Linked DNA regions of Xenopus tropicalis. The protein of the gene in region 1 binds, or shares a complex with, the protein of each later gene. Links are inferred from orthologs where the notes say so. Each region holds a gene or a part of one and is shown in the gene's direction. Other genes may lie near its edges. The genes, in order: cul1, btrc, fbxo11, ccnf and fbxo10.

Evidence for each region.
Region 2: cul1 (region 1) and btrc share a complex: the UniProt entries of both Homo sapiens proteins name them as parts of the SCF(BTRC) complex. The link is inferred for Xenopus tropicalis from reciprocal best matches to the Homo sapiens genes CUL1 and BTRC.
Region 3: cul1 (region 1) and fbxo11 share a complex: the UniProt entries of both Homo sapiens proteins name them as parts of the SCF(FBXO11) complex. The link is inferred for Xenopus tropicalis from reciprocal best matches to the Homo sapiens genes CUL1 and FBXO11.
Region 4: cul1 (region 1) and ccnf share a complex: the UniProt entries of both Homo sapiens proteins name them as parts of the SCF(CCNF) complex. The link is inferred for Xenopus tropicalis from reciprocal best matches to the Homo sapiens genes CUL1 and CCNF.
Region 5: cul1 (region 1) and fbxo10 share a complex: the UniProt entries of both Homo sapiens proteins name them as parts of the SCF(FBXO10) complex. The link is inferred for Xenopus tropicalis from reciprocal best matches to the Homo sapiens genes CUL1 and FBXO10.

The regions. Positions count from the first base shown.
Region 1 is NC_030682.2:55,203,070-55,207,121, reverse strand, and holds the start of cul1 (cullin-1), read left to right. Parts: upstream 1-1,252; 5' UTR 1,253-1,418; coding exon 1,419-1,558; intron 1,559-4,052. UniProt on the Homo sapiens protein: Core component of multiple cullin-RING-based SCF (SKP1-CUL1-F-box protein) E3 ubiquitin-protein ligase complexes, which mediate the ubiquitination of proteins involved in cell cycle progression, signal transduction and transcription.
Region 2 is NC_030683.2:30,625,595-30,629,819, forward strand, and holds the end of btrc (F-box/WD repeat-containing protein 1A), read left to right. Parts: intron 1-905; coding exon 906-1,067; 3' UTR 1,068-1,099; intron 1,100-2,937; 3' UTR 2,938-3,027; downstream 3,028-4,225. UniProt on the Homo sapiens protein: Substrate recognition component of a SCF (SKP1-CUL1-F-box protein) E3 ubiquitin-protein ligase complex which mediates the ubiquitination and subsequent proteasomal degradation of target proteins. Recognizes and binds to phosphorylated target proteins.
Region 3 is NC_030681.2:21,092,209-21,097,132, reverse strand, and holds part of fbxo11 (F-box only protein 11), read left to right. Parts: intron 1-553; coding exon 554-771; intron 772-983; coding exon 984-1,069; intron 1,070-1,156; coding exon 1,157-1,251; intron 1,252-1,433; coding exon 1,434-1,556; intron 1,557-1,690; coding exon 1,691-1,776; intron 1,777-2,369; coding exon 2,370-2,446; intron 2,447-3,331; coding exon 3,332-3,475; intron 3,476-4,319; coding exon 4,320-4,430; intron 4,431-4,924. UniProt on the Homo sapiens protein: Substrate recognition component of a SCF (SKP1-CUL1-F-box protein) E3 ubiquitin-protein ligase complex which mediates the ubiquitination and subsequent proteasomal degradation of target proteins, such as DTL/CDT2, BCL6, SNAI1 and PRDM1/BLIMP1.
Region 4 is NC_030685.2:22,528,299-22,533,939, forward strand, and holds the start of ccnf (cyclin-F), read left to right. Parts: upstream 1-2,077; 5' UTR 2,078-2,138; coding exon 2,139-2,151; intron 2,152-4,328; coding exon 4,329-4,483; intron 4,484-5,443; coding exon 5,444-5,550; intron 5,551-5,641. UniProt on the Homo sapiens protein: Substrate recognition component of a SCF (SKP1-CUL1-F-box protein) E3 ubiquitin-protein ligase complex which mediates the ubiquitination and subsequent proteasomal degradation of target proteins.
Region 5 is NC_030677.2:109,017,135-109,022,553, forward strand, and holds the start of fbxo10 (F-box only protein 10), read left to right. Parts: upstream 1-1,788; 5' UTR 1,789-2,528; intron 2,529-5,419. UniProt on the Homo sapiens protein: Substrate-recognition component of the SCF (SKP1-CUL1-F-box protein)-type E3 ubiquitin ligase complex. Mediates the ubiquitination and degradation of BCL2, an antiapoptotic protein, thereby playing a role in apoptosis by controlling the stability of BCL2.

The DNA.
Region 1 (4,052 bases):
TCAAAGTGAGAGAGAAGAGACTGTTGTTAACAAAGTGAATAATACATTTAAGTATTATTAGGTCATTGGTTCATATTACCCATTGTGACTTCAACCGTCATGTCAAAAGAGACACCTTTTCTTGTATTAACTGCTATGTTCTTTCCCTTATAGTTTTATGTAGCATAATCCTCCGTAGGAAGTAATCACATTATCTCATTTCCTCAGTGAATGGCCTCAGTCCTTTGTAATGTTCCTAACTGTTCCAGATCCCAAACTATTTATGGAGGAACCAATTATACTGATTCAACTGCATCAGTTAAGGTTGTGTGTGTGGTATATGGATTTTTTTAGTTTGATTATCCCATATACATGGTGAATCTGATCAGCAGTTGGCCAGTTTTCCCTTGTAGTTGATAAAGCTTTGGGTGAAGTTACCTGATCCATGTCATTCAGTATGTATGCTGAGCTCTTAATTTCTTTTCTTTTAAACTTAAGTTTAAAAAAACAATAATACCAAAATATGAACCTGTATAACAGTAATTGCACTGTTGCCCTGCACTGGTACAACTGATGAAACACTACTATAGTTTAGAAATTCAAATATGCTGTGTAGCCATGGTTGCAGCCATTTAAGGGCAGTGATACACGGGGAGATTAGTCGCTGCACAACAAATCTTTGTTGTCGCGGACGACTAATCTCCCTGCAATGCCATCCCACCGGCTAGAATATAAATTGCTGGTGGGATGGCATACGCGGCGCCGTGATTTGCTGAAGCCGCCCGATGTTTCCTCTCAAGGCAACTTTCATACTCTGCGCGACAAATACGATTTTGTCGCACAAATTGTCACGCTTTTTGTCGCAAAGTGCGAAAAAGTCGCAAAAATATGCACAGTACGAAAACTTTATTTTTGTATTCGGAAGCAATCGTACTTTGATAAATGGGCCCCTATGATTCTTCTTGGACTGGCATAATTTTAAATTGATCACGTGCAGGCGTACCGTGTTACACACACAATATCATTGTGGGGAAAATCTACAAGGAATGCACAAGTCTTGTCCTTTGCATACTGGGCATGCACTACAGGGAAGAAGGTGTCTATCCAAAAACAAGAAAGGGTAGTGATATAAACCAAGTCTGAAGAATAAAGGGGAAGAATGAAGCACTTCACTACTAAGGATAATGATAAATACACATTTAAATGTTCCTTTATTAACATGTTATAATTATATGTACAACACTTTTAATGCATAGTTATATTTTCACTTTTAGGCATTTTAACTGATAGGATCTACATCACCCAACAGGATCAATTCACAAGCGATTTGGAATGCTCCAGCATTTTATCATCTTATGGAGGTTTAAGTAAGTCATTAAAGGAAGTTGTGGCACTGAAAGACATTTTATTGGGGGGAAATCCATAAAGAGAGGACAAAAATGTCTTCAAACAGAAGTCAGAATCCACATGGACTGAAACAGATTGGCTTGGACCAAATATGGGATGACCTGCGGGCCGGGATCCAACAAGTTTATACAAGACAGAGCATGGCAAAGTCCAGATATATGGAACTCTATACGTATCCTTATTGTAACTCCCATTACTTTCGTCTTACCTTCTGCAAAAGGCATAATTGATTGGTAAGGTACTGCTCAATGTAAATTTTTTCGCCAGATAAAAAGCCTTGGCCATCTTTTTGTCTTTTTCTGGCATCATCTTGATGACTAATTATTTAAAACTGTATTATTTTATGGTGATTGACATAAATATGTTTTTTAATTACTTAGTTTGGAAACATTTTAGGTGTAACTTTGTAAGGCTGAGTGTTGATTTTTTTATTCATTTTAGAAAACATCTGAATTCAAAGCCTGTCTACTGATTGTACTATGGATTTTGTTTAGAGTGCAGTTCACTCTAAACAAAATCCATAGTACAATCAGTAGACAGGCTTTGTGCGTTATGTTTTTTGTGTTTTTATGTGCTTGCTTTTAAACAGCCCTGTTTCCAAAAAACATGGGACACTAAAAATAAAATAAAAACAGAAGTGAAAGATCTGTAAATCATTTAAACCCTATATAAGCAAAATAGTACAAAGATGACATATTAAATGTAGAAAAAGAGAAATTATGCTGTTTTCAGAAAAAAAACCTTTCATAAATTTTAGGATCAGGGCACCAAAAGCCTCTCTGCGGCCGGGTCTCAAAGGGGAGGTATACACCACTCTGAGAATCACTGCAGAGCAGGCTTTGACTGGGATTCTAAATAGGCATTTTAAGTACACAAAGTCGCAAACAGCCTCCCCCCCCCACTAGCCCAATAAATAGTTATTGTCTATGGCATCTTTGAGCAGCCCCCCCGGGAATTTGGCAGAATCCACAGATTGCCAGTCCAGGTCTGCTGCACAGGCAAATATAGAAATAATTTAACGTTAAACTGCAAAACATTTGGTGATCATATCATCTATAGTACATAAGATCTCTGTATACATGAGACAAGGCCAAAAGCCAGTGTTAGATGGTTTTGACCTTCTGCCCTTCATATGGCACTGCATTAACAACAGACACGTTGCTGTAGTGGAAATTACTGCGTGGGTTTAGGAATACTTTGGGAACTGTTGTCTGACCAGAGTTTGTCACCCACAAATTTATAACTCTACCACACAAAGAAACATATACATACAACTTATTTAAGATGGACTGTCCTCGCATCCTCCGGGCTAAAGAGGGGAAGGACCATCCAACTGGTTATCAGCACACCGTTCCAAAGCCAGAATCCATTATGGCATAAGGGTGCATTAGTCTATATGGCATGCGTAGCTTGCACCTCTGGGAGGGCACCAGTAATGTTAAATGATAAACCGGTATGGCATCTGTCATAGCTTTGAATTATGGGAAGACCATCTCCTACTGACTCCATTTTAAGCAAACAAACATTTTTGAAAAGATTTCCTTTTTCTCTATAACAATATAACAGTACCTTGTACTTGACCCTAACTAAGATATGATCGATGCTTATTTGAGTGAAAATGATCCTATTTGGCTTATTTTTTTGGCTTTGAATTTTATTTTAGTAGACTTGGCAATCCAGGTTACTGAAAGACCTGGAAAAACCCAGGTCCCAAGCATTCTGGATTACAAGTCCCATAACTGCGCAATGTATACAGGTTTTGGAGCAATATATGCTGCCAAACAGCACTGTTTAAGCTACAGCAGTTGGTCTCTTCGATTCCCAAATGTTCACAGGGTGTTCCAACTTTTTAGGAATGTGTTGTGGCACCAAAGTTAAAAGGAGCATGTTTTTCAACATTTGATATATTGTGTTAAAACTATTTGCAATTAAGCATAGGGTTTAAATTATATACAGATCATTGCATTTTGGTTTTATTAATATTTTACACAATGTCTCAACTTTTTGGAAATAGAGTTGTAAAGGTTGGAATTGATTTAGAAAAAATTGAGTGTTCTTTGTAATGGGTTTGCTGTACTTTATGTGACAAACAGAGCCTCAATTACAGAAACAGAACACGGGTAAACATATCGACCCATCTTTTTCCCGTAAACTTTTTGAACAGTCTTTTTACCTGTATTTCTGTTTATGTATATTCTTTGGCTGACTTAGCCCTTTGAGTATTCTAACAAGGTTTACATAAGAATTTCAATATACACGCTTGCAAAGAGAATTTCTTCCACAAATGTAACATTCTTAGAATAGTAAACAATTAATTTTATTCTTTATTCCTAACAAAGAGAATAAATCAAAACAGTAAAAAAAATGTTGCTGGTCGGACTGACAGTCGAAAAGTTACTTTAGTTCATAAAATATTGCTCACAAAATTGTACTAACAATATCTTTAATATAGTTAAAAATATAAAATCATATGCATCCAAGCATTTCTAGTAGGTATTCCTACTAGTACTTCGTGCAGTGGGAAGATGGTTTAATATTGGTGTTTGCTGGACTTTTTTGGTTCAAGCCCCAGCACTGATAATAAACCTTTGTACATGCCCCCCACCCCCTTAGCTTGTAACAGGGGGGGAACCAGTAGAGGTAAACATCAGCCATTTAGCCATAGT
Region 2 (4,225 bases), on another chromosome or scaffold:
CGTTTCATAGCTTAAAATTTTATTATAGTTTTATTGAATTCATATCTTCTGTTTCATTCATTTTATATCTCTTGATAGGCATATGTTATAACTTTTCTAATAATGTTGAATGAAATAAAGCCACATGCACAAATGCAGTGGTGTCTGTATGTCTTTGACCCATAGGCAATAATATTAAAGCCCACCACACTGTTGCCATTATGGCCATTCCAAATTAACTCTGGCTTTTTCCCAGAAATGAGAAAAACCCTCCTACAGCTAACATTCAATTTGTAAGCAGTTGGAGAAGGTTCACAGATCGTGGCTCCTCACTGCAGGCGAGTTGTCTTCGACTTTGCAGTCTGTAAAGCAGCTCCATAAACACACAATGGCTTTCTCAGGCAGTGTGGACTTTGCCAGATTATTTCCCCCTCACAGCATGTCCTTTTTCAATTGTGCTTCATTCAAGGTGACATTTAAAAAAAATAATGGCTTCATTTTGTTTAGGGTGTGTGTATATATATGTTTCGAGAAATACCCTAGGTGGGTTGAAACGTCAGTCTCCCTTCAATAAATCTTTTTGATATTGGACATAAGACCTGAGTAGTGCAGATTCCTCCATTATTTATGCTTTACTTTGATCATGTACACATGAATGCCAACCTTCTGTGTGTGTGTGTATAAAATATATAGATATAGATAGGTATAGATAGATATAGATATAGATATATATAGATATATATAGATATATATAAAAAATATAAAAAAAATCCCATATATATATTTGCTCCTTTTAATTGGATAAAGCACCTCTTCTGGTAATAGTAGCAGTGTGGTGAAGGCAGAACGCTGTATATGTGTTACATGTCTTTGCATAAACTTGTGTAATATCTGTTTATCCCTATTATCTTTGCTTTGTTTACCAGGAGCATTCGGGCAGAGTTTTCCGCCTGCAGTTTGATGAGTTCCAGATAGTAAGCAGCTCTCACGACGACACTATCCTCATCTGGGATTTTCTCAACGACCCAGCTGCACATGCAGAGTCAACGCGTTCCCCTTCTAGAACATACACGTACATCTCCAGATAAATGACACTACGTAGTACCTCAGAGTTGCACAGGTGGGTAGGAGGAAGTGCTAAGTACACCAGTCATTTGTCACTGACACATTTTACATTTGCAGGCAAAAAATATGGGAAAATAGTAAATCTTGTGTGGGATTATGAGTTTTTAGATCACAGTCGGCCATTATTAGCTAATACTTTCTTTAACTTGTGTTTCCTAAAGGCCAGTTTTTGTTTTAGCTTGTATTAATGTGCAAGTCTACTGTGTCATTACTCACAGTATCCCAGTGCTTAAGGGATTCTCCTCTGATTGTCTTGGCAGTAATCCACTGGGTTCCATCTGCTCTGGTGCCCAGATCCCTCTTGATGATATGTGCATGCCAGGATATTATCACTACTGTTGTACTGATTACATTCCCATTCCCCCAGGACCACATTTACATTGAGGGGTATATTTATCATGCTTTGTAAAAAGTGGAGTGAAACATTACCAGTGATGTTGCTCATAGCTGCCAATCAGATGCTTTGCTTTTGTTTTCTAACTGTTGAAATCTAATTGCTGATTAGTTGCTCTGGGCAACATCATCGGTAATGCTTGACTTAACTTTTTACACCGCATGATAAATATACCCGTAAGGCTACTGCCACACGGGGGTGGGGTTTTTTTTCTGGCCTCTATATAAGCACATGCCTAGAGTCTCTCCAATCCGATTTGCTTTATGGTGTGTCTGCAGTGTCGGACTGGGACCCCAGGGGCCCACCAAAAAACTTTAGACCATGGGCCCACTCTCCAAACTAATTTTCCTCCTTTCCTCACTAAAACCACTTTATTCTCCAAGTCTCTTTTATTTACATGCTAGCATGTATTTCTCCTCTTTTTTCCATTCAGAAATGGGTAATAAGCATGAAACAGGCCAAATGGTCAGGAGCAGGAGGGCCCACTGACACCTGGGCCCACCAGGAGTTTTCCTGGTATCCTAGTGGGCCAGTCCAACTCTGTGTCTGCACCCACACATGGGGAGCATTTTCTGCTCCAAAACACGTGAGAATGAATATTTACTCCAAAATCCACTCTGTGTGTCTGCACCCAGGCCCACGCTGTGCCTCTGAGTGCAGACACCATACAGCAGAATGGAGAGGAAGGGTTGGTTTCTGGAGCTGTCATTTTTCCTTAAAAACTCAGCTGAAGGGCAGTGAGATGCACGAAAAGTATTATGGATATCTGTATTGCGGCCTGCCTTTCCTCCTCACAGTCACCACTTCCACCTTGTAAACTTAGTTACAGAACAGGACCACAGCCATACAGCAAAGAGGATAAGAAAGAAATGGAATAGCACTGTAAATGCTTTCACACGTGCAAAATTTCTGCTGTGTCCTTGGATCTGACGCATTTTAAACCCCATCAGATATCAGCAGGAGGCTACCAGATATCTGCTGGCAAGTGATCTCCTCCTACACATGCCATCAGATGGATGTTACCCTAGGCATCTCGTGCACACTGTGCACATCTGATACCTTCTGCTTTTTACATTGCCTTTCTTCTGTTCGCCTTGACATCAAGGAAAAATGCACTGTCAGGAGAGACTGATGTCAGGTTGGTTGAACACAATAGAGAGGATTTGAGAGTACATTTAGGATTCAGCTGCAGGCATTTGAGTTCAGCGCACATCAGATGCTTCTTAAGTGTCAGCCTGACCGGCTCCCTTATGGTATGTACACATGGACATTCCAAAGTAGGGCTGAGATGTGGCTCGTGGTCCCTTGGGATGTAAAAGCAAGAAGTGGAGTATATCATTCTATTTATCTGACACTGGTTGTAGCTTTTTGTGTCCTTTCTTTGTAAAAAAAAAACATAGATGAACCTTTAATCTTGCCTCTCGTTTACTCCCTTACAGGACTTGCTTGAGAAGTATGGTAACTAAACCACCTGTGAACGCCGGGAAATAAACATTCTACTTGACCAGTATTTGCTGAAAAAAAAAAAATATAGAGAGAGAGACCCATTATCCTGACTCATCCTGGAATATTGCTGTCAGGCAGCTGGAAGCAGCCCGGGCCAATCTGCACAGTGGACTGCATGATTGCTGCCATGAGAAGAATTCTTGTATCTCCGTCATTGTCACCGGAGTCTGCAACTTATTGCGTGGCGGTGGGTTGCACACTCCAGTGGCGGCGGCTCATTACTCAAAACTTGCAATTTAGAGATGAAACCTGAGAGACTGTAGCAGTCACAGATCTTTGAAATCTATTTAAATGTCTTGCCAGGATTCCTGTTGCTTCGCTGTCAGCAAAAGAACAATTTTCATTTTTGTCCCACGCTCACGCTGCTTTAAGGTGTGGTTCCATTCGGAGATCTGCTGAACGTTTTGCAAGTACTTGTGAAGTGAAAAGCGGGAAATGGGTTACTTTCTTTTAAGATGATGACTAAGACCCCCCCAAGTGATATAAAAATGTATGTTTTTATCATAGTAAGCATGAAAGGTTATTTTTTATTTATTATTTTTTTTTTCCATTAATTTTTTCATTCTTCAGTGTTTGCGTGTATATCCAGTTTTTCTTTTTTTTCCTTTTTTTTTTTTTTTTGCATATAGTACCAAATCAAGTGTTGTAGTTATCTGTATAGTTCTTTATGGGCCATTAAAAGCTTAGAAAAAAAATAAACTGATTAGAGATGTTCTTATCACATGGCACAAGGGTAAGGATAGCGCAAAACTCACTTTCCCTCTTGGTATGTGTCTCCATTTAAGTGTCTCCTCTTATTTTTCTAGTGAGGGTTCTCCTCTTCTTTCTCCCTCTTCCCTTGGCTTGGCACAGCAGTACGTTCGTCTTTCTTGGTGGTTATTTCCGTCACCGCGCTTGTACTGACCGTCACAAAACACCATGTATATTTTCTGCACACGACTACTAACTCATGCTTCTGATCTTCGCGGGCAGCCCTATTTGCCATAGCGCTCTTCGTAAATACGTATTTAAACTCATCTCTTCTTGCATGTGAACCACTATTAAATATTCTGCATGATCTGAAAACTGAGGTACAAACACTTAACGTAACGCAACAGGAAAGTATCTTTTTGTCCTTTAGAAGAAGAAAAAAAAAAGCACTCGTTTTCTGTCCTTTACTTAAAGCCAAACTTGTGGGGGTTTGTTTGTTTTTTTTAAAGAGACACTGTAAAAATCTGCTCT
Region 3 (4,924 bases), on another chromosome or scaffold:
TACAAAGCAGTTGGTTTTAGGCTGTTCTTTAGTGACCCCATTCTAAAGGGAGAAAGAGGCAGAGGAAGTTAAATAATTTAAAAAAATATAAGGAATGAAGACCAATTAAAAGTCGCTAAGAATAAGGTGTTCCATAACATACAAAAAGTTAAACTAAAAGATGAACTATGCCTTTGATAATAAAATACAGAATGCATTTTTAACTTCAGTTCACCATAATTTTGATTTCTGTTTCTCTACCTTAGCATAGGTGCAATCTTGGCCATCTTTGCACTAATGCAGCCAACGCTTGGTATTGTGCATGGTGGTGATAGGTTTGGTGTGGCTACTTGCCTATGCAGAATTTTTCAAACTAAAAGTTCTGACATTGGGATTTTTATAAGAAGTGTCTGTATATTTTTGCCCATTTGCTGAGTGCTGGATACTTTTAGATAAGTGATAAATAAAAGTGAAGCATCAAATATGAAAGTAAAATCTGGTTCTGTTGTACACGTACTTGTCTAATTAAACGAATAATTCTTGCTTACACGTTTGCTTGTTAATGGTATTGCAGGGTTATTTTGAAAGCTGCAACATACACAGAAATAGAATAGCAGGTTTCGAGGTGAAAGCCTATGCCAACCCCACAGTGGTGAGGTGTGAAATCCACCACGGCCAGACCGGAGGAATCTACGTCCATGAAAAAGGGAGAGGACAGTTTTTAGAGAACAAAATCTATGCAAACAATTTTGCCGGTGTATGGATTACCTCAAATAGTGACCCAACTATTAGGTAAGCAGGGGTTCCTAAAGGCCAAGTTTGCCCACATATTACAGTAGGGCAAATTTATTGCAGAATTTCATATCTAGTCATGTGATTTTTCTATAATGGTTAAACTCATATTTACTGTCCCCTATAGCCCCCTTATGCTTTAGTTATGAACAGTTGCTTCTCATACAAGTTATGGCTAAAACTGTCTACTAAAATGCTGCCTAATTCTACAGGGGAAATGCAATTTTTAATGGAAACCAAGGGGGAGTGTATATCTTTGGTGATGGAAGAGGCCTTATAGAAGAAAATGACATATATGGTAACTTTTTCCTTTTTAAAGTTCAATTTTTACCTTTTTTTTTTTTTTTTAAGCGTTGTATATTAATCTATTTCTGTGTGTTACCAGGAAATGCATTAGCAGGAATTCAGATTCGTACAAACAGCTGCCCCATTGTCAGACACAATAAAATTCACGATGGACAGCATGGTGGCATCTATGTGGTGAGTGACATTTTCAGTGTAATGACACAGTAATAGAAAAAAACTCAGCCATGGATCCAGCCCCCTTGGGGTGTTCTAGCTGTTGGAGGTAACTACAACTTCCATACCAAAAAAAATGCTTATCCATGAGCTAAACTAAGAACTTGATTTTGACTTTTTCCATTTTACTTTTCAAACCAAAGCATGAAAAGGGACAGGGAGTAATTGAAGAAAATGAAGTATACAGTAACACATTGGCTGGCGTTTGGGTGACAACTGGAAGTACGCCTGTGTTAAGGCGGAACAGAATACACAGCGGAAAGCAGGTAAGGAAAGGGAATTGTTGGGATTGACTGATTTTAGAGCAGTTGATTGAAGAAAAACTGAAAACCTTGAAGTACTGTAGGGGAAACTGTAGGAATCACCGTTTTTAATTAGTGTTTCCATGTTTGCTTTTAAGGTCGGAGTGTACTTTTATGACAATGGCCACGGTGTCCTAGAAGACAACGACATCTATAATCACATGTATTCTGGAGTTCAGATAAGGTAAGGCGTTGCTCTTCAGCTTTACAGTACAGAAGATTGTTTTATGGTAGCAGATAGAGATTAATGTTCATCACAGTTATGCATAACAGCCAGTAGGATCTCTGTTCACCTACTGAAAACAAATTGCTGATTGGTTGCTATGGGTGACCAGATTGGTTTAATATTGAACCTCTGTTTATGAAATAAAACCTAGAATGTTAAAGTACCAAAACCACGAACAAAGTAAATGATTTTTTTTTTTTTTTGATTTGACAGTTATTCCTTTGCTAATTTTGCATTGGTGCATTTTGGTTTCCATAACTGCTCTTTGCGCTGAGGCATCTCAAGGCAGTTAGATGCTATGGGGTATCTGTTCTGTTACCAGCGTGGGGTAGTTTTTGTTGGCCAGGCTACTACCATCTTCCCCTCATTTCCCATGTATCACCCGTGCCTCTTTAAACTTCTCCCATACATTGTACAGAACCAGCCATTCCAGCTGAAATCTATCGCTGACCACTACACTTTATAAAGTCTTAAGCTGCCTTGCAGTGTTATAGTATATAGTTGGAAATGTTGGCTCACAAAGAATACTTCCTTGTTCCATTTGTTTGCAGAACTGGAAGCAACCCTAAAATAAGGCGGAATAAAATCTGGGGAGGACAGAATGGCGGTATACTTGTATATAATTCTGGTAAGTAGCTCTACAGATATATATAATGTATCAAACTCAACAGTAGAAAGCACTCACAGCTACAGCATCAATCAGGTCAGTGATTTATTTCAGCATACCATCTACGCGTTTCGATCACCACAGGATCGTCATCCTGATGACGATCCTGTGGTGATCGAAACGCGTAGATGGTATGCTGAAATAAATCACTGACCTGATTGATGCTGTAGCTGTGAGTGCTTTCTACTGTTGAGTTTGATGTATTATTTTTGTCAGCACCCAGCCTGTGCCCGATACTGGTGAGTGCCGATTCTTTGCAAGACGATATATATAATGTAATATATATATGTGCAGTTTTACTCCATATAGAGAGATCCTTAAAGGAGACATATCCTATAAAAATTAAGAATGTACCAGTGAATTATACTCCTCTTGATATAGAAGGATTGTGCTTTAAAAAGTTGTGTTTATGACACAAAAACACCGCTAGCCTTGCCCACCTGTTCGACTTCCTGCTGGCTGAATTCTCTGGATGAGCGGGGGAGCCAGCGGCCCTCTGTAGGATAGGAACCAATCAGCAGCTAGGCTTACCTGATAGGGAACTGAAGCCTGTCTTTGCTTGTGTGAGTGCAGGGCTGTGATTGGCTCTCCCCCTCCTACTGTGCTTCTGGCAGGGGCCGTTAGGACTCGCCCACCCTTCATTTCACACTGGACAGAGAAGTGATATGATCTATAGGGAGCTCCAATAAAGGGGCCATTTTTACAGAGAGGATTAATTTTTAGCACAAAGTAAAACCAGCACCGTATATTATTCATAAATGCCTACAAAATTAGGGTTTTTCCCATTTATCCAATGTCTCCTTTAAGCAGTAAATAAGTGCTATTTCTTTTCCCTTTCTTGTTCAGGGCTTGGATTTATAGAAGACAATGAAATATTTGATAATGCAATGGCCGGCGTCTGGATCAAAACAGACAGCAACCCAACCTTACGGAGAAATAAAATCCATGATGGAAGAGATGGAGGAATCTGTATATTTAATGGAGGCAGAGGTGATTTGTTTATAGCAACATTTAAAAAGGTTTAGAATTGCTCTGCCCCTTCTGCTTTCTGAGCCCTCTTCATACTGGGCATGCTCACTGCTTCTGCTTCAATTAAAATCAATCATTAGGCTCCTCTTTGAGGTCATCAGAGATGGAGAGAGAAGGGTTTAGAAAGCAAAGGGGGGCAGGGCTTCACACTATACAAGGAACTCTGTAAAAAGCTGCAGTTTAACTGCTTGTAATAGAGAAACAAAATAAATCTGGATGCAGGAAGAAAGGTATGTTATTCTGTGGGTTGTTTGGAATAATTTTAGGGAACTTAAAAATAAAAGGCTTACTTTTTCTTTAATTTGTAGAAGTTTTAAATACATAGTTGGATGTCTTTTGGAAGATTTTGATGTTAGAGAATGACAAATATAAGGATATAATAGCCTGTAATATATACAAAGAATATGTATATGTGGTTTATGCTTTGATATAGTCATAGAACTCCTCTAAAACATTATATATTATAGCAGATATTGTACCCCACTCCAAAGTAAATAGGCCATGGAACTCCAAATATCCTAGGTTTTTTTTTTTTATAAAAAGGTGTGAGTATCTGGAATTCTCTATAGAGAGCAGTCTCTACTGTACACGTTCATTATGAACGAATATAAAGAATATGGAGAAGGCAGACTCCCACACATATACAGTGAAAATGGAAACTCTGCACAATTATCTAAAGTAGAGTATTTATATGGATTAGAGCATTTTACTGAGAGCAACTCGTTTCCCCTAATCTCAGAGCAGCAATGCTGCAGAACAGTCAGGGGTAAGAACTAGAACTTACAGTGATTGTGATTTTCCATAGGACTCCTTGAAGAGAACGACATCTTCCGAAACGCCCAAGCTGGTGTTCTTATCAGCACCAACAGTCACCCAATTTTAAGGAAAAATCGAATATTTGATGGATTTGCAGCAGGTTGGTATATTGTGAAGGGAAATTTATCATAATGGTAACATTTATTGGAGCTTTTTGGCATGCAGAAATTTATTTAAATTACTTCCAGGTTATAAGTAGTGTTAGCTTTCCCTTACTTGTAAATAGTGACTAAGGCCATAGCCTGTGTGCATTGGACATGTGGGTAATGTTTAGCTTGCCCAGATGTTACGGCTTTTGACACCTCTGGATCACATACTGTAGGTGTGGGCAGGTCCTGTTTGGCTGCAACTGGAGACACAGGTTAATGTTTGTTTTGGCAATGTCACTTGTCTGAATGTATATATCTTGTTTATTATAATACTAATACCAGTGGCACTTCTGCACACATTTGCTGTCTTTATAAGGTAATGTATTATTACTGGTACGTACTATAATGGCATACTGAGTTCTGGGCCATTTCCATGTAGACACAGGAATGTTACTTTAGTGTTCCAGCAGGGGGCCTTCCTTATTCAGTAGCAGATGGCTTGAAA
Region 4 (5,641 bases), on another chromosome or scaffold:
GGGGACCACATCAACGAGCCGATGCGGTCCCTGATCCGACTAAATCTTTTAACCTGCCCGATCGATATCTGCCCAATTTCAGGCCAGATATTGGTCGGGAATGTCCCTCGTTCCTGCCCCTACACGTGCCAATAAGCTGCCGAACCACAACTCCTGTACAGAACCACAACTCCTAGCATGTCTGGAGTACAGGACCTTGGAACTCTAGACAAGAAGATCAAAACGCTGCCCATTGGACTGCCTAATATTTATTTCCTATAGGAAGGACTGGGAATTAAGGGAAATAGAAGATTCCATGGGTGCAACATGGGGGACACAGTTTTACCCTGGTCACACAATATCCTGTGCAAGGGATCCTGTGTCCCCTGGCCTGCAAAACAAACACATTTCAATGCCTTTTTTCAGTTGTGGATAACCTTAATATACTGTATGCTGGTAAATGTTACAAGATTATGAGCTTTGCCTTTTACAATTTAGTGCTTACGGGCAGAGCACTTCCATAAGGGCTTTATGGGAGCTCATTCGCTAGCACATATAACATTTTCGCCCAGGGCAGTTATTCATAGCAATTTCTCATCTGATCAAAGCCAATTGCTGATTCTATGACACTTAGCTCCTATGTTAGTAAGCTCCATGATGCCCTCATTCACATGGCTGCAAGAAAGCTAGCTCAGTCTGACTCTAAGGGCTCTGGCACACGGGGAGATTAGTCGCCCGCGGCAAAACTCCCTGTTCACGGGCGACTAATCTCCCCGAGTTGCCTACTCCTGCCATCCCACCGGCGAACATGTAAGTCGCCGGCGGGATGGCAGACGCGGCGGGGCGATTTCGCGCAAATCGCCGAAAAAGACTCGTGAGTCTTTTTCAGCGATTTCCTGAAATCGCCCCGCCGCGTCTGCCATCCCGCCAGTAAAGTGTGCCTGAGTCTGAGCTTTCAGAAGGAGCCAGCGCTACACATTAGAACTGCTTTCAGCTAACCTATTGTTTCTCCTACTCCCATGTAACTGGAGGAGTCCCAAGCTGGACTTGGATTTCTTACTATTGAGTGCTATTCTGGGAGCTGCTATCTTGCTCCCTTCCCATTGTTCTGCTGATCGGCTGCTGGGAGGGGGGGGATATCATTCCAACTTGCAGCTCAGCAGTAAAGTGAGACTGAAGTTTATCAGAGCACAGATCACATGGCTGTGGCACCCTGGGAAATGAATAATATGGCTAGCCCCATGTCAAATTTAAAAATTAAATATAAAAAAATTCTGTTTGAGTTTTTCAAAAGCAGATTACAATGCAGATTCTGCCGGAGAAGCTCCATTAACTGATGTGTTTAAAAATACACGTCCCCCATTACAGGGTTCCTTAAAGTTATAAACTCACATTTTTCTAATTTTGCCCCTCAGTGTTCATTCAGGGGACACAGCCATATTGCTGAGGAATTGCCCTACTCCCGCGTATTGCCGCCCTTACCTGCGGCCAAACCCTCTACCACTGAGTTTCACCTTCCCGCCTATACAATATCTGCTTTACATTAGCGCAAACTTCCATGCCCCAAAAGCCTCAGATGAACCTGCACCCCGCCTCCCTGCACCCCGCCTACTACTGCCCTGGGTTTAAATGGCCCCGCCCCCTTCGCCAGAGCCAATCCGCGTCATGAGCGCCGTTCAAAAAAATACACGCTGCCTCGCTGAACACTGGGAGAAAGGGGCGTGGCTTTGTATATTCTTTTCACGGACAATGAAAGCCGTGATTAATGCGGGCAGCTTAAAAACGGGTCTTTGCAAAAACTAATAACATTATAGATTTATACTTAAACAAACAGGTACTTCGATCTCGGTTTTATTAGCGCCTCTACGAGTTCTTCCGGGAACTCAGTGACGTCAGTATGTGGGCGTGTTAATATCTGTGGGAACCGTTTAGCAAATGCCATTGGCTGGTTTCGCAAGAGCATCTAGCGTTTGATTGGCTTGAGGGCGTGGCTATTGTTCATTCTTCGCTTCGGATTGGTTTGCCCTCTCTGTGGGCGTAGCCCTGGCCTGAGTTGGGATATGCAGGCCGGGCACCTAATGAAATCGAAATTTGCGCTCTGAGCCAGGCGGTAGCACCGATTCCCACTGCTCATCTACCTCACCAGCTAATTGCTCGGCATGAAGGGAGGAGGTAAGTGTCTGACAGGCGTAGATCTGATATAACTGATATTTATGTTGCGATCACCAGTTCATACATTCCTCTAGTTTGCGCCTGCTGCGCAAATTGATGGGATATGTAGTTCAGCAACAGGTTTGCCTGCCTATAATGTATGGTAGAGACCCTATAAACCCTAGCGCTCCCCCGATCGCCTTCCCTGCTAGGGGTTCCACTTATGTGATTGTGCTATTCATGTTATATAGGAATATATATATATATAACGCTGTGCATTCCTGCAGGGAGCGTGTTCATCTCATTCCCCCCTGAGAAGTCACTTCCTGCTCTCAGCAGTTTTAAATCTCCCTCCAAACTCTGCCGAAAGTGGGAGGATGGGCGGCCGGGGGGGGGGGGGGGGGGGGGGGGGGGGGGGGTTGTGACCTTTAAATGTAACTTGTTTATAATGAATGTATGGCTTTATATATAATATTATACTCCTAGAAGTATAGATTTATAATAGCCAGATCTCTTGGCACTGTAGCTGCTGTAGAATGAATGAAATACTAGTTATCTTTTTCTTTAAATCCCCCTTAATGGCTAATTAACTACCTGAGATAATAATTAAGGTTGATCTGTAGTTTTATTCAGCTCAGTGTCCCCCATGTCCCTGTGTGTGTGTATTGCTCCCCATGTGGATTGTGGCTTTTATTTCTGTGCTGCCTGTGCTCTCACCAGGTTTCCCTAATGTACATTCATGGGGTACTTTAGTGGGAGCAGGGGGGCATTTTAGTTGATTAGTGTGTTTATTGGGTGTTAAGAGGTGGGCGGGTTTGGTTTGAAAATAAACTTGCCAGCCAGTAACTGGTTGTGGGTGGGAGGGGACACTTTCCTCATGATCCATCGGGGCTTATTTCCCAATAGAGGGGCTGCTGCCAATATTGTATGTATGTATAACTTTATTTATAAAGCGCCACAAGGGTACGCAGCGCTGTACAATCTTACAGAATACAAAATTACACACAGGGAGGACGAGTGATATAATAAATAAATAAATATATATATAAGTGCCATGTGGTATGAGACACAGTAGGAAGGAGGTCCCTGCCCCGTAGAGCTTACAATCTAATTGTAGGGTCATTTTCACAGTTTTCATCTCTTTTATATGAAGATCTATTTTTTAAAGTGATATTAAGTCTCATGTATTTTAATCAGGGGGTTTAAAATTGAGTTTCCCCTGTTGAATTACTGATGTATTTGATAGTCCTGTTTAGTTACTTTTACAAGTTAATTCAAATCTATGTATATCTATAATATCTAATGTTCTATGCACATTCTACAGTTGCCCCCACCAAGGCAGCTTTGTATGCTTGGAGATTTAAAAGATGCATTTTTGGTAAATGTGATAGATTGGTGCCAGTACAACTTAGCATGGAAAATAAAAGTGTGTATTTGCTTTTCAGATCATTTATATTCTGTACTGGAATTGTAATGATCACATTGGGGTTGAGATCTAGTAGCTGATAAGGGAAAGATTATATTTGAGGGGAGAGATAAATCAGCTTGTAATGATGCCCAGCAGCCACTAGGGGCTCAACTGAGCAGAATTCTTAAGCAACTCCCATCATGCATCCGTGAGGGATTTAAATTTCTGTCAGAGCATTCACAGACTGAGCTGCATGTTGTACATTTCTTTTGTGCCTGTTTATAATTTATATCAAATCAGACTTGTCCCATGGTATATTAATGCTAAATATTATTCTGGGAGCCAGGCTGTGTATCTTTCCTCAATGTTTGCTGTGAGTTTCATTTGTTTGTTTCTCATTAAGAGCACACAGAAACCATGGGTTTATTGAGCCCTATACCATTAATGTAGAACTATTGGTGGCCCTCCAGGTTGCAGCAAGGCTGTATTTAGCTTTCTCCAGGCACATTGTGTTATATAGAGTTTATAGAATCGGACAATTGTATATGGTGCATTTTAATTGTATGGTGGAAAAGTCTAAGGTTGCTACAAATGGAAGAGACTGCCACTGCTGCAATTGTCTGCCCTGAGTAGTAATGAGACCTGGGTTTCTTTAGGTAGCTGCTGCTGGCATGTAGTGTAAACCAGCCCTGAGTGTTTCTTTCTGAAAACTTAGTTCACACCTTTAGGGCATTGGTAGAACGGGTGGCTCCTCAGGATCTGCAGTCTGATCCGTTGTTTTCCCTTCCAGCCTTGCACTGCCGCTGCTCCAAATGCTTTGCTGCTCCTCCGAAGCGGCGAGTAAAGAGGCGACCCCGCGTGCTGACCTTGCTCAGTCTGCCGGAAGATGTTCTTCTCTATGTGCTGGAATGCCTGCCTGCTGTGGACATCCTATCCATGCGAGAGGTAAGATCTGCGGGGAGGGAATGAGCCCCTCATTTGGTTCATGTGCAAAATGTGTGTGTTCCTTTTTGGATGGTCAGTAACTACAGTATAAATTTCTGACCAAATTGTACATAACTGGTGTCCTTTCTTACAATGTAGCAGGGGGGCCCAAAGCAGTCTGGATTGTGGGGGCTGTCTGAAGGCTAATCAGATTAAATCAGAACCATGTTTCTATCCCTGACAAGATTATAATTTGAATTTCCCAGACTCTTTCTATTCAATTGTAGTCTACGGACGATGAGATTGTGCATGAAACTCTTACTTAGTTTAACGCTGTCGTTTAACAATGGGTGTGAAACTGTATGCCTTTAACTGCTTCTGACGGGCACACCGGAAAAAAAAAAAGGAATCCAAACAATGGATTTTGTGCATCAAGGGGATTAATGCAATTTGGGCTTTTGTCAAAAACCAGTGCAGCGTGAAAGGGTCAAAGGGGCTTATCTAATTGCACAACTTATGTATTTCAAAAATACTTTCACCAGGAATGAAGAGAAGGGGATTCACTTTAGTGTGAAGACACACAGAGCTTCTAGTAGCAGCTACTTTTTCATGGCTACAGAAAATCCCCTGCCATAGACAATACTGAGAATTGCCTCCTAAAATGTAGACAATTATCAGTAAATGATCAGCATTGTCTATTTTAGTAGCTGCTACTAGTAGCTCCATGTGTCTTCACCCTTAACTTGGTGACTCTATTAATCTGTCCTTTGGAAAATTGACAAAGTGCTACATGCATTAGGTGTACCTGCTGCCTTACGCCAGAGTATGTGTTAATTGGTTGCTCGCTGCTTACCCTGAGGGTCTGTACCCATGAAAGCAGAGACTAAAACTAAATCCATAAATATAGTTTTAATATTATTTTAAACATGCACGCTGCTTCATTCTTTCCATTGTTCCCTCAATCTCTTCCTTGTGTTCCAGGTTCATCCACATTTGAGGTCCCTGGTGGATTCTCACAGTAGTGTTTGGGCTCGTGCCTCTTTCCAAGATGTCTGGCCTTCTCCTGAAAACTTGAATCTCTTTGAAAGGTAAGATAATGGGTGACAGATTGCTGGTACCTACAGTCTGTCCCTCTGAGTGGTCTGTAAATAAATCCACAAACCCTGGTCACATGATGGC
Region 5 (5,419 bases), on another chromosome or scaffold:
CCTCTTACTGCTTGTGGTGCCGTTATCCATTGGTTCTTGTGTATGCACTTGGTGTGCCAGTGCCCTTTGCTTATTACTATATAATGTTTTGTATGGTGCTTGGGGTGCCATAATTTCTCTATATTATGTCCTTGGGGGATCAGTACCCACTGCTTCTCTCTGTATATAATGTCCTTGGGGTATCTCACAGCCTCTGCATATAATATATTTTGGGTGCTAGCATTAATTTCTTCTCATGGTGTAATGTGCTTGTAGTGCCTGCTTTCCCAACTCTCAGGATAAATTGTACTTGTGGTGTCAATACTCACACTTACGCTGCCAGATTCTGCTGACTGCACTAACCTAGATATGTTGGTATGCTGCTTTAACCATTTCTGTGTTGATATAATGTTCTGGGGATGACAACTGCAATGTCTCCATGGCAGTGAGTGCTGCTAAAACTTGTCTGCCATATACTCCAAAATGCAACCCTTAGGCTAATGCCACATGTAGCGTATGGGCATATTTTCGACAAGCCAAAAACTGCTTGCTGACAATACGCCACATACGGTTAAAATCCTCCTACTTGTGCCTGCACCAGCAATGAATACACTCGGGTGCAGGTACATGTAGCCTATATCCAGAATACTTTGCATTTTCGGCAGATATCGGCTACATGTGCCCGCACCTGATTATATTCAATGCATTCAGGTGCAGACACAGGTAGGAGGATTTTTAATCCTATGTAGCGTAATCTCGTCAAGCGGATTTTGGCTTGCCAAAAACATGCTCCACACGGTATGTGTAACATTAGCCTATTCTCACCCTCTTTAAATAAAAACTTTATCTATAACTTTATCAAAAGTAAATAAACTAAAACTTATTTACCTGGTATATAGCTCCCTTGTTCCATCAATTTCTACTTTTAAGCAGAAATGTAGTAAATGGTGCCAGGTTTGCTGAGGTCATATAACCCATACATAGCAACCAGCCATCTGTTGGCTAACTGCAATTATAATCTTACAATTGCTTTGTCTTGGGTTACCAGACTAGGCAAATGTTTGGTTTTCTACAAATTTGGTGAAAACACACTTTAAAGTGGGTGGAGTCTTAAGGGCGTTACTCGGGCCGCAAATCCTTCCCACCTGGCCCCCCATCCAAAAACATTTTCTGCTGCCCCTGGCCAAAAGTACAGCAAAGCTGCTCCCATCCTAGCGATACTTACAGGATAAAGGCTCTTCTGTAGTTGTTTCAGTCACACTGGGATGGGGGAAGCGTGATCCTTCCATAGGCTTACTACAAGTAAAAACAGTACTCCAGTCTATGGAAGGATTGTGCTTCCTCCAGCCCAGCGTGACTGATTCTCAGACTATTTTTTATAGCCTATCTTATAATATTCATTTAAATTCTCTTGCTTTATGATAGTTCTGTTACTTGGATGTCGGACTCACTAATTCCTGCCCTGGGCCCATTGGTACCTTAAAGCAGCCCTGCCCCGGTATGGTCAACTAAACATGCACTGATGCTGAAGCAGGGAGGACGAAGGGAGAGGCATGTTGTAGCTGCTTGAAATGTGGCCATGGAGAAATAATAGAGCGGCGCACAATATTTATGGATATACTCAAGGCTGTGCTAAAGGGGATTGGGACACTTTTATCTTACCTTTCCTAGATGATGTTTCTGTTGTTCCTGCTACTTGGTCCCTGACATACACTTGGTTTCTCTTGCTTTCCTCCTTCTACTGCAGACCCTCCTCCACTCCCCCTTTTTATCAGTGCTAAGCCTTCATTCCTCCTCCCAGTTTCCCACCCCTTCAGGATGCAATTGTTCCCTTCCCCTCATCCCTCACACAGCCCTCCCCTCCCTGCTCTCCCTCCCTCCCTCATCTCCCTTACCATGCTGTCTCTTGCAGGCTGCCAAACAAAAGGCCCTCATGGGGCCTCGCTAGCAACTTCAAGCTTGTCTAATATGTAGAGACTCCTCCTTACAGGATTCTCTCTTTCCCCCGGCGTCTGGCTGGTGAATAGCTGCTATATTCTTTGGATACCACAGGAGGGGCCTCTTCAGCGATTCCTATTTCTCCAGTACTCTATGGTCAGCCCATGCACTAGCCGGGAGCACACAGGATACTTGCATTGGCAGCAGCAGCAGCAGCAACTGTGAGGCTGCAGTACCAACACCGGCTGTGTGTGTCCTGTAGCTGCTAGGGGGGAACTTAGTGCATCACAACAGATTCCCCTCTCTTCTTATCATTGGCAAGTATAATGATTTCCTCTCCTGTGGGCAGTGTAGCAAACGTGTAGGCTATTGGGATGGGATGGGATCTGCAAACAGGAACGTACAGATGCCACACAAGTGACGGACTGCTGGCTCCCCACCTGCACATGTAATGCTCCCTGAGGTATCCGGCCGGAGCATCCCTGTGCGCTCTGACTGTGCGACAGGATTGTTGTGGGATGTACTGATACAGAACTGAGGTGCTTCTGGCAAGTCAGACTTTTATGCTAGCTGCAAATGAAGAAAGTGGTGGGACCGTGCGGTATAATCACGTATGTACATTATGTTGATGTTAAAGTGCTATTATACATATATTTATAATTGTAATATACATATATTTATAATACATATAGATAAAGGTTTGTGTGTTAGGTATATGTGTGTATTTGCTATTACAAGCTTACTTTATTCAATTATTGTAATTATAGATTATTATGCCAAGAACCTGGCATACACAACACCACATTATTGCTTTACTGCCCTGACTTTCAACCAACCTTGTGGTATTAAACCCACAGCTAACACTCAGTATGTGACTTTGTGGCGCTAGGAAGTATAGCCAGAAATGGTTTGTTTGTACAGGTACATTCTATCTGTATATCTCATCTAACATCTCTGTCACTGTTTGCTTGATTTCTCATTTCCAGAGCTACACATTTGAGTAGAATTATATTTTTGTAAAAAACATAACAACCCATTTCTCTGGATTTGCTGTTCTCAGTACTAAAATAATTGGCATTTGTGTATTTTGGTAAAACAAGGAATTGCATAGGTATGAGATCTGTTATCCACAAAGCTGATCTAGTATCAACAAAACTGTTACCAACTTTAACCAAAAGCAAATTATTTTTTGTTTATGAATGATTTGCTTATCCTTTCTAATAAGACAACAGTATGTTGTGCTTAATGTCAATTATGCTAGCATAAATCCATGTTAATGGAAAACCATTTCTATTGGTTATTTTAAAATATAAATTTTCTTTGTAGCCTTAAGGAATGGTGCTCTATATTATGGAAATATCCCTTATCCAGAAACCCAGGTTGTAAGTATTCTGAATTATAGGTAAAACAGAAAATGCACAGTTGTACTTCCTAAATTTTGAATTCATGTCTGAATTGTATATTTTAGTATAGGTATGAGATCCCTTATCCGGAAACCCGTTATACAGAAAGCTCCGAATTACGGAAAGCCTGTCTCCCATAGACTCCATTTTAATCAAATAATTCAGAATTTTAAAAAGGATTTCCTTTTTCTCTGTAGAAATAAAACAGTACCTTGTAATTGATTCCAACTAAGATATAAATAATCCTTAATTAATTGATTTTTTAGTAGAGGTATGGAGATCCAAATTATGGAAGACCCCTTATCCTTAATACCCTTGGTCCCGAGCATTCTGGATAATGGGTCCTATACATGTACACCATTGGGATGCATGTTATTGTGCATGTATGGGATCTCTTATCAATGAACTTACAGGAAGAAATTACAGGAAGGCCATATCCAATAAGATCAATTTTAAGCAAATAATTCTAATTCTGTTTATGCTTTCTCTGTAATGTAGCTTGTACTAGCTGATGACTAAGCTGTACGAATCTATATTAGTGGCATAACAATCCTGTTGGGCTTATTTAATGTTTGAATTTTTTAGTAGACTTGAAATTATGGAAAAACCTGAAAAAAAGGTCTCAGTATTCTGGATAATAAATAAAATAGTAGTAATTATAAAATACTACAGTTCCTATATGAATGGTTCATACTGGACCAGTTCTGAACTATTTTTCAGAGTTCCTAATCTCTGAAGAGTAGGCTATAAGAATATCATTTGTAGCAGACAAGGGAAGCTGAACTATTTTTACAAGGAACTACTTTCTGAATAATATCTCTCATTGCTACAATTCCCTCCTGCCTCCTCCTCACATCATTGTTGTGTGCCCAGTTTAAAAGATTTTTTTCTTACATTCTAGATTATTGTGTTTTGGAGAGCAACATATTTATTTACTTTTTTGTAGGTGAAGTTAGGCTTTACATAACTAAATTCCTTTCTGGACTTATAATCTCCTATTTGGCATAACTAGGAAGCTGCTTACATTGCTGTGATTGTCGACCCCTGTTGTAGTCTTAGAATGATCTGTCTCTAGTGCGCATGCCTGGGGAGCTGATCCCTGTGACTAAAAAGAGGTCATAAGATGGTATATGTGGACACAACTGCAGAGCTCTGCATTCTTGCCACTAATACAAAATGCTTTATTTAAGGGTAGTGACCTTGTAGGAATAGGGAATAAAAAAAAAAGATCTATTATTTGATTTGTAAATACTGACTAGCTGGATTAGGATCATACATGCTAGATGAGAGTTAACAGAGGGGTAAAGAAAAAAGACATTGACAAATACATTTATGGGATACTTTATACAGAAAGCTCTAAATTATGGAAAGGCCATCTCTCGCAGAGTACATTTTAAGCAAATAATTCTAATATTCAAAAATGTTTTTTCCCTGTAATAATAAAACAGTACCTTGTACTTGATGGTAACTAAGCTGCATGGATCTGTTTCGGTTTACTTCATGTTAAATGATTTTTAGTAGACTTATTTTCTGTTGATCCGAATTACAGAAAGAACCCTTATCCGGAAAACCTCCAGGTCTCAGGCATTTTGGATAATAGATCCCATACCTGTAGTTTAAGGATAATTCAGATGCATGCAGTTATATAGTATTTTTATGTCTGTGGTGCTAAATGCACAATATGACAATGATCTGTCCTTTAAAGCTGAACTGGTTACCTTGCTGAAGTAGGCTGCAAGAAACATGTGAGACAGTTATGAAAAAATAGTCTGGGGTTCGCTAATATAATATAGTATAATATAGTAAGCCTTGTTTACAAATTTGTCAATAGATAGCAAGAGCCTTTGGGACATAGATTTGTTCCCTTGGGTTTAGCCTTTAGGTTGTTAGTTAATGGAATAGTTAATACTATATGAATTACACTGGTGCCAAGTTGTTCCAATTTAATACTCACTTTATCAGAAATAATCAAAATATTTCTATTTCTGACTCTGAGACGTTTGACATGTTCTTCCTTGTTCTCTCCTTTTTTTTAGTGTGATAATGATTTTAGTTCTTGAAATTACATTTGATTGTATTTAAAGTAGTTGTGCCTCACA